2 linked regions of the Oryctolagus cuniculus genome follow. The protein of the gene in region 2 binds, or shares a complex with, the protein of the main gene of each other region. Links are inferred from orthologs where the notes say so. Each region holds a gene or a part of one and is shown on either strand. Other genes may lie near its edges.

What was found. The genes of interacting proteins can lie anywhere in the genome.
Region 1: GTF2E2 (region 2) and POLR2C share a complex: the UniProt entries of both Homo sapiens proteins name them as parts of the TBP-based Pol II pre-initiation complex. The link is inferred for Oryctolagus cuniculus from reciprocal best matches to the Homo sapiens genes GTF2E2 and POLR2C.

The regions. Positions count from the first base shown.
Region 1 is NC_091449.1:41,014,813-41,018,891, forward strand, and holds the start of POLR2C (DNA-directed RNA polymerase II subunit RPB3), read left to right. Parts: upstream 1-1,279; 5' UTR 1,280-1,369; coding exon 1,370-1,455; intron 1,456-1,618; coding exon 1,619-1,668; intron 1,669-3,306; coding exon 3,307-3,375; intron 3,376-3,513; coding exon 3,514-3,566; intron 3,567-4,040; coding exon 4,041-4,079. UniProt on the Homo sapiens protein: Core component of RNA polymerase II (Pol II), a DNA-dependent RNA polymerase which synthesizes mRNA precursors and many functional non-coding RNAs using the four ribonucleoside triphosphates as substrates.
Region 2 is NC_091433.1:80,641,711-80,645,210, reverse strand, and holds part of GTF2E2 (transcription initiation factor IIE subunit beta), read left to right. Parts: intron 1-3,203; coding exon 3,204-3,311; intron 3,312-3,500. UniProt on the Homo sapiens protein: Recruits TFIIH to the initiation complex and stimulates the RNA polymerase II C-terminal domain kinase and DNA-dependent ATPase activities of TFIIH. Both TFIIH and TFIIE are required for promoter clearance by RNA polymerase.

The DNA.
Region 1 (4,079 bases), on a different chromosome or scaffold from region 2:
CTGCTAAGGCTGAGTCAAGGCTGGTATCCACCGGATGGTGGCAGCTCACTGCCAGCACGCTGCAGGCATCCTGAGATGTTCCCGGGGACCCCTCAGAGAGCTGCCTCCCCAGAGACAGGTGCCTGCTGGACACTGAGAGGCGTGGCCCAGGCCTGGTGTCGCATCACTCCAGCACGCACTGCGGGATTGTTAGTGTATTCAGAACCTGTAAAAATTATAATAAATGTTTGAGGCTGCTTCCTTTTATGTAGTTTGTTTCCATATAGACTGTGATAGATGTCCCCAGCGGGAGTTCTGGCCCTGGCTCTGCCTAATACATGCTGGGGGGTTGGACAACTCTGCCTCTGAACCAGGTCTTCCCATCAGTAAAATGGGGGCAGTGGGGCCTTCCCCAGACACCTTGCTCCCTTGGCCCCTCTTGTCTGTCACCATTTTAGTGATAGGTTCGTCAGTGTCAGTAATCTCAGCCTGTGCACCACCTGGGCTCCCTTGCACATCTGCTTTGCTCTGGCCCACGTCTGCCAAATACTGATAGAGGAGTCAGAAGTGGACGCATTTCAGATCCCTGTGGGCCTTCCCCGGGCCCCGCGCCTCTCTGGTTACTCCCTGATACCTGTGAGGCTCCTGCAGCAGCTACCCACGTTTCATCGCATTCATCACATCCATGTTACACTCAGGAGATGACCGTAATTCTTAACCTACTGAGATGACAGGCAGGCAAGAACCGCCTCCTGCCCTTCCTGTGTCTCAGGAAGAGGTGCGCCTGCTGCTAAGGTGAACCCCTTCCTGGGTACTCTACTGCAGCCACATTCCATTTTAGGGTCTCTAGAGCCTTTTACGGAAGTGTCCACAAGTGCGCGACCCGGACTTGAGGGTGGAAGGGAAGGACATACACCATCATTGAGAGATGCTTTGCTGAAAGTTGCCACGCATTGTTTCCCATGGGTGTTCAAATTCACATCATCCTCAAAGGCCTCATGGTATGCCTATATGTATCTATTTAACCAGGTCTCTATGCATAGACCAGTCTTGTTTACCTTTTGCTATTACAGTACTGTCTTGAATGTCCCTGTAGCTTTGTTTACAACTGCAAACATCTTGGCAGAATGAATTTTTAGACGTATTATTGTTGATTCAAGGGCATATGCAGGTCTTGCCAAGTTACCTTGCAAGTTGGGTGAGACTGGTGGTGGGGTGGGGAGTAGAAAATGCGGGCCATGGTGCAGCCGCAGCCTCCCAGCGGCAGGGGGCGCTGCTCGCGCGTCTCGGCGGAAGCTGCGGGGGCCGCGCTGTCCGGCTTCCGGTGACAGAGCCGCGCAGGCGCGACGGGGGCGACGCGAGGGGCCGGCTAGGAGGCCTCAGGGGCGCGATGCCGTACGCTAATCAGCCCACGGTGCGCATCACCGAGCTCACTGACGAGAACGTCAAGTTCATCATCGAGAATACGGACCTGGCGTAAGGCTGCTGAGGGGAGAGGCTGGCGGCCCTGCCGAGCCGGCCCGAAGGGTGGGGGTGCCCTCCCACGGCGGCCACCGTGCCAGGGCTTTAGCTTTGGGAGCCCGGGGCCGGCCTGTCGGGGCTGCGGCGCCCTCACGCCTCTCGCTTTCTCGTCCTTCAGGGTGGCCAATTCTATCCGGAGGGTCTTCATCGCGGAGGTGCCTATAATAGGTAAGCGAGCCCCGCCGCACCCTACCGGGACCACTGGTTCCCCGGCTTCCCAAGGCCCCACGCACCTGTGCCGCCTCCAGGCCTGGCTTGGGGGTGGAGGTGCCGAGGCTGGGTCGCACCCGGTGCCTCTGGCCCGGCTGCCCCGTTGGCCACTTCGGCCCCCCTGCCGTGTGCCTCGCGGAGCAGCACGGGTTCGGCAGGGGCTGCCCTGGGCTCCGATGCGGTTTCCACGCGCGCGCTCGGTGGAACTTAGGCAAGTCGTGACCCTTCTGTGTGCTGCTGGTTCTCATCGGAGACATTGGACGCTGGTGTTACTCACCAGGCCGACGGCGGGGACCAGTGAGTGAGCGATTCTGATGGATGTGCACGGGGCTCGAGGACCTCGCAGCAGCGGCCCGCAGGGGTGGGAGGGCCTCTGGCCTCTGTGCCCCAGTGTTTTCTGCGTTGACTGTGCTTGTGTAAAATACCAGGGGTGTTTTGTGTCAGCTCAGTGAGTTTGCGTTTGGCAAAAGAGATGTTGTGGCTGCTGCATCAAGTGTTCAGACTCTGAAGGAAGCGGCACACACCAGCTGCTTGCTAAAGCCGCCGCCTCCGCCCCCCGTCGCCTCAGCCCCGCTGGGCCTCGGTGGGCCCCGCTTTTCACATTCTCAGCTCTGCAAATGCGCACCCATGCTGGGCAAACAAAGGCAGCTCAGACCCGGCCTCAAGGAATTCTCCAAGCCTGCGGTGGGGATGAGACACAAATCCGACACTGAGCAAAGCATGACCGCTGTGCTAAGGGGAGTCAGAGCTGGCCTTGTCCGAGCGGGGTTCAGAGGCCGGGGGTGCTCACGGCTCAGTCTGAAGCGCAGGCGGGACTCGGGTTTTAGGCTCGGGGGATTTGGAGCTGCACGAGGAAGGAAAGTGCGGGCCAGGAAGCAGCCGGGGTCCGGGGGTACGTGAAGAGGCAGAGGGGCCTGGGTTGGGGCCTGAGACGACTGGTCCCCTTCTGACCTCTGCTCCCAGCGGCCATGCCCCCCCTGGCAGCTGGGCAGCAGCCCTGTTTGATTTCGGCGTTTGTATGAATGAGTGAGTAAAGTGGGGTTGAAGTCACGTGGGTGTGAGACAGTCCTCACCGTGCTGCCAGCTCGTTGCTGGCAAGGACCGGTTTCTCTGTAAGCTGCCTGGTTCCTGACAGGACGCAGTAACCTGTGTCGGCTGAGTGATGAGGAAATGCTCGTTGGGTGGGCCAGCGTTACATCCTAAGACGCGGTTCCTGCTGTCGGCCTGTTCGTTGTTCGTGAGTTTCCCTCATCGCAGTGGCTGAATCGTTTGTGTTCCTGGCTGTTTGGCACTGGCACAGGTGGCAGATACATTGGCTTCTCACAGAAATCGGCAGCAGGTGTGCCTGCTGCGGTGAGGCGCTCTGAGCCGGCGTTCCCGTGTGGTCCAGGAAGCCCCTGCCTGAACTCCCCCCCGGGCGGGCAGGGGCCGCGGTGCCTGCGTGGTGCCTGAGCCCTGCCCGGTGCTGCTGCAGTCAGTCCCCGGCCGCCCGGCCTGGCCCGGCCCGGGCATTCCTGAATCTTGGCACTCACTGCCCTGAGCTTTGGGGAATTTGGTTGCTGAATGAAGTCTCACCTCCGCCCCTTCTCGTTTTAGCCATTGACTGGGTTCAGATCGATGCCAACTCCTCCGTCCTGCATGACGAGTTCATCGCGCACCGGCTCGGTGAGTGCTGCTCTGGGGGAGGTGAAGGGACGGTGCGGCCGATGCCGCAGGAGGCCTCCCCACCGCGGGGCGCCTGTGGGCTCTCGTTTTGGGCATGGCTGTCTGGCTGCCTTGAAAGCGCGGGTCTGTGTCTTACAGGCTTGATTCCTCTCACGAGCGACGACATCGTGGACAAGTTGCAGAACTCCCGGGTATGCTGCGAGAGTGGCTGTGTGTGGCTCGGGTAGGGGCTTAAGGGCCCACAGGACTTGTCCTTGGCATCTGGCTGCCAGCATGGACTGCGCCGTGGTTGTAGGGAGACGGCGGAGATGTTGTCCAGAGCCCGAGGCAGGTGTCTTTGGGCTTGGTGCTGATGAGGATCCCATTGGTTATGTCCGTCTGGAAGTCTCAGGAGCCAGTCCCACAGAGGGGCAGCCACCAGGGGGCCTGCCTGTGCAGCACAGGGGCTGTTGCTTCCACAGCACCACCACCACCCCTGCCCCGGGGTCGGGGGGCAGAGGCACAGAGGTTGGTGTAGGTGCGGGCAAGGAGCAGAGGGGCTGGGCGCTGTCTCACAAGAGCAGCACCCCCTGCACGCAGGCAGCGGCTCAGGGAGCGGGCCGAGCAGGCAGCTGTGGGGCTTCCCGGCTCTCCGTGGGCTCCTTCCAGCTTCCCTCTCCGCTCAGGACTGCACCTGTGAGGAGTTCTGCCCCGAGTGCTCGGTG
Region 2 (3,500 bases):
AGGGAGAGACAGAGATAGGTCTTCTAACTGCTGGTTCATTTCTCAAATGGCTGCAACCACTATCTCTGGACCGATCCAAGGCCGTGAGATTCTTCTAGGTCTCCCACCTGGGTGCAGGAGCTCAAGCACTTGGGCCATCTTCCACTGCAGCAGAGAACTGGGTCGGAGGAGGGGCAGCCGGGACATGAACGGGTGGCCATATGTGATATCTGCTCCGCAGACAGAGGCTCAGCTTGCTAGCCACAGCGCCAGCCCTTCCCTCTTTTTTTTTTTTTTTAAAACGATTTATGTAGTTGAAAGGTTGAGCAGCAGAGGCTGGGTGGGGTGGATGGTGGGGAGAGATCTTTCATCCATTGGTTCATTCCTGAAATGTCTTCTGTGGCCAGGCTGAAGCCAGGAGGCAGGAATTCCATCCTGGTATCCCAGATGGGTAGCAGGGACCCAAGCACTTGGGCCATTTTCCACTGCCTTCCCAGACATTATTAGCAGGGAGCTAAACTAAAAGTAGAGTGGCTGGTACTCAAATCAGCAATCCAGAATGGGGTGCTTATATCATATGTGGTGTACGCCCAGTTTGGTATTTCTTGCTATATTGGTATAGTAACATGACTTGGGAAATTATAGTTCTTTATTATTAACCATAGTAAAATTGCTTATCAGTCTAGATTTGGAATCCTCTTCCATCACAAATATCATCTTAAAAAAAATCACATCGGTTGGTCAGACATGTTTGTGAAACAAGTACTAGGGATAGAGGTATCTGGCACAGTGGTTAAGACGCTGCTTGGGACATCCATGTTAGAATGCCTGGGTTTGAGTCCCAACTCTGCTGTCTATTCCAGCTTCCTGCTAATGCATACCTTGGAAGGCAGCAGGTAAGGGGAATAACAACTGAGAAAGTTAAGAAAAAAAAAAAAAAAGAAAACCTCACAGTGAAGGTTACTTTTTTTTTTTTTTTTTTACTACATGATCTGTGCTTTGCCGCATTTACAACAGAAGAGCAGCAGATAGCAGTTGAATCATGGTGTGTGAACATTACTTGAATCAGTGAAATTTCCGTCAGATTTCCTATTTATGCCTGTAGAGCTTGATTGCTCCCCTAAGTTAACTGACACTGTAAGGGGAAGTTGGGGGATATAATTTGGAAGGGAATTGCTGACATTCTCGTTCCCCTGTGTTCCCATTTGTGAGGTGTATGGTTTACCAGTTATAAAAGCTCTCCTCCATTTTGCAGAAAAAAAGAGGTGATCTTAGCAGCATGAACATAGTCCTACTTGTGTGCTGCTACTGCTTGCTGCTAATAGACTTCTAATGAAACTGCTAGCATGAACTCAGTAATGACCTGTTAACCATAAGCATTAGTACTTTGTGAAGTTAAAACATTTATTTCTTAATATCTTGATTTTTTTTTTTTGTAACTTTAGGGTTTTGTGGAATGCTGGTTGAGAAGCCCTATTACAAGCCATTATGCTCGCAGGCACCGCTGCTCACTAGGCTAATCCTCCACCTTGTGGCGCCGGCACACCGGGTTCTAGTCCCGGTTGGGGCGCCGGATTCTGTCCTGGTTGCCCCTCTTCCAGACCAGCTCTCTGCTGTGGCCAGGGAGTGCAGTGGAGGATGGCCCAAGTCCTTGTGCCCTGCACCCCATGGGAGACCAGGATACGCACCTGGCTCCTGCCATCGGATCAGTGCGGTGCGCCGGCTGCAGCATGCCAGCCGCACGGCTATTGGAGGGTGAACCAATGGAAAAAGGAAGACCTTTCTCTCTCTCTCTCTCTCTCTCACTGTCCACTCTGCCTGTCAAAAAATAAAGAAAAAAAAAAAAAAGGCAAGCCATTATGAAAACGTATGCTACGGCCAGTGAAGTAGCAATGCTTTTTTTTTTTTTTAAATTGGCGCCGTGGCGTAGTGGGTAAAGCCGCCACCTGCCGTGCCGGCATGGTTCAAGACCCGGCTGCTCCACTTCTGATCTTGCTCTCTGCTATGGCCTGGGAAAGCAGTAGAAGATGGCCCAGGTCCTTGGGCCTCTGCACCGGTGTGGGAAACCTGGAGGAAGTTCCTGGCTTTGGATTGGCACAGCTCTGGCCATTGCAACCAATTGTGGAGTGAACCAGTGGATGCAAGACCACTCTCTGTCTCTCCTTCTCTGTGTAACTCTGCCTTTCAAATAAATACATAAATCTTTTTAAAAAAAATTAGCACATAGAGAACATAGCATTAAACATCTGAACAGTAGCATGTAGGATGCAGTTTACTTAGTGAATTGTCTGTTAATGGCCACTAGGGTTATTTCTAATATACATATATATTTAAAGATTTATTTATTTATTTGAAAGTCAGGGTTAAACACAGAAGGAGAGGCAGAGTGAGAGAAAGGTATTCCATCCACTGGTTCACTCCCCAATTGGCCGCAATGGCCGGAGCTTCCTCCGGGTCTCCCATGTGAGTGCAGGGGCTCAAGGACTTGGGCCACCTTCTACTGCTATCCCAGTCCATAGCAGAGAGCCGGATTGGAAGTGGAGCAGACAGGTTTCAAACCCGTGCCCATGTGGGATGCCGGCACTGCAGGTGGTGGCTTAACCCACTACACCACAGCGCTGGCCCCTCTAGTATTTTTCTTGTACAAACAATATTGCAATGACTTTTAATCACTTTTTTTGTGCTGTGCTGGCATGTTTATAGGGTAAATTCCTAGAAATAAGATTGCTATGTCAAAGGATTTAGTTAATTCACACTGCCAAACTGCTCTCTAGGGTTGTACCAGTTTATACTGTTATCAGTAGTCTTTGAGAAAGGCATTTTCCTCTAGCTTCACTAATAAAATTGGCAGACATTTGGAATTGTTCAGCTCGAATAAGTGAGAAATATCTTGGCAAAAATTGAGTGTCTTTTCATATGTTTAAGATCGTTTGTATTTCTTTTTCTGTCATCTGAGGATTCGTCTCTTTGGGTATTTCCTTGTTAGGTGTTTGGAGCTCTTAAATATTAAGATTAGCTCTTTGTGATGTGAGTTGCAAATGCTTTTTTCTTGTTATATGATTTTTTTATTCTATCTGATTTCATCATCAGTGCTTTTAATTAGTATAATTTTACTGCCTCAAATAATACATGTTCTATATTCCTGAAAGGATTTATTTATGGGTAGCTTTGATTTAGTGTATCTAGCATTTTAAAACACTGACAATGATTTCTTCCCTCAATAGACACGACATCAGCGAGGAGACACACATCCTCTAACTTTAGAAGAAATTTTGGATGAAACCCAGCATTTAGATATTGGACTCAAGCAGAAACAGTGGTTAATGACTGAGGTAAGAAAAGGCTTAAAATATAATAAAAATAATTGGTTAATAACCAGGAGATATTTTCTTTATAATTTTTTTAAATAATATTGAAATCTGTGCTTTTTTTTTTTTTTTTTAAGTTTTATTTATTTAAAAGGCGGAGTTAGGGAGAGACAGATTTTCCATCTGTTGGTTCACTCCTCTGATGGCCGCAAT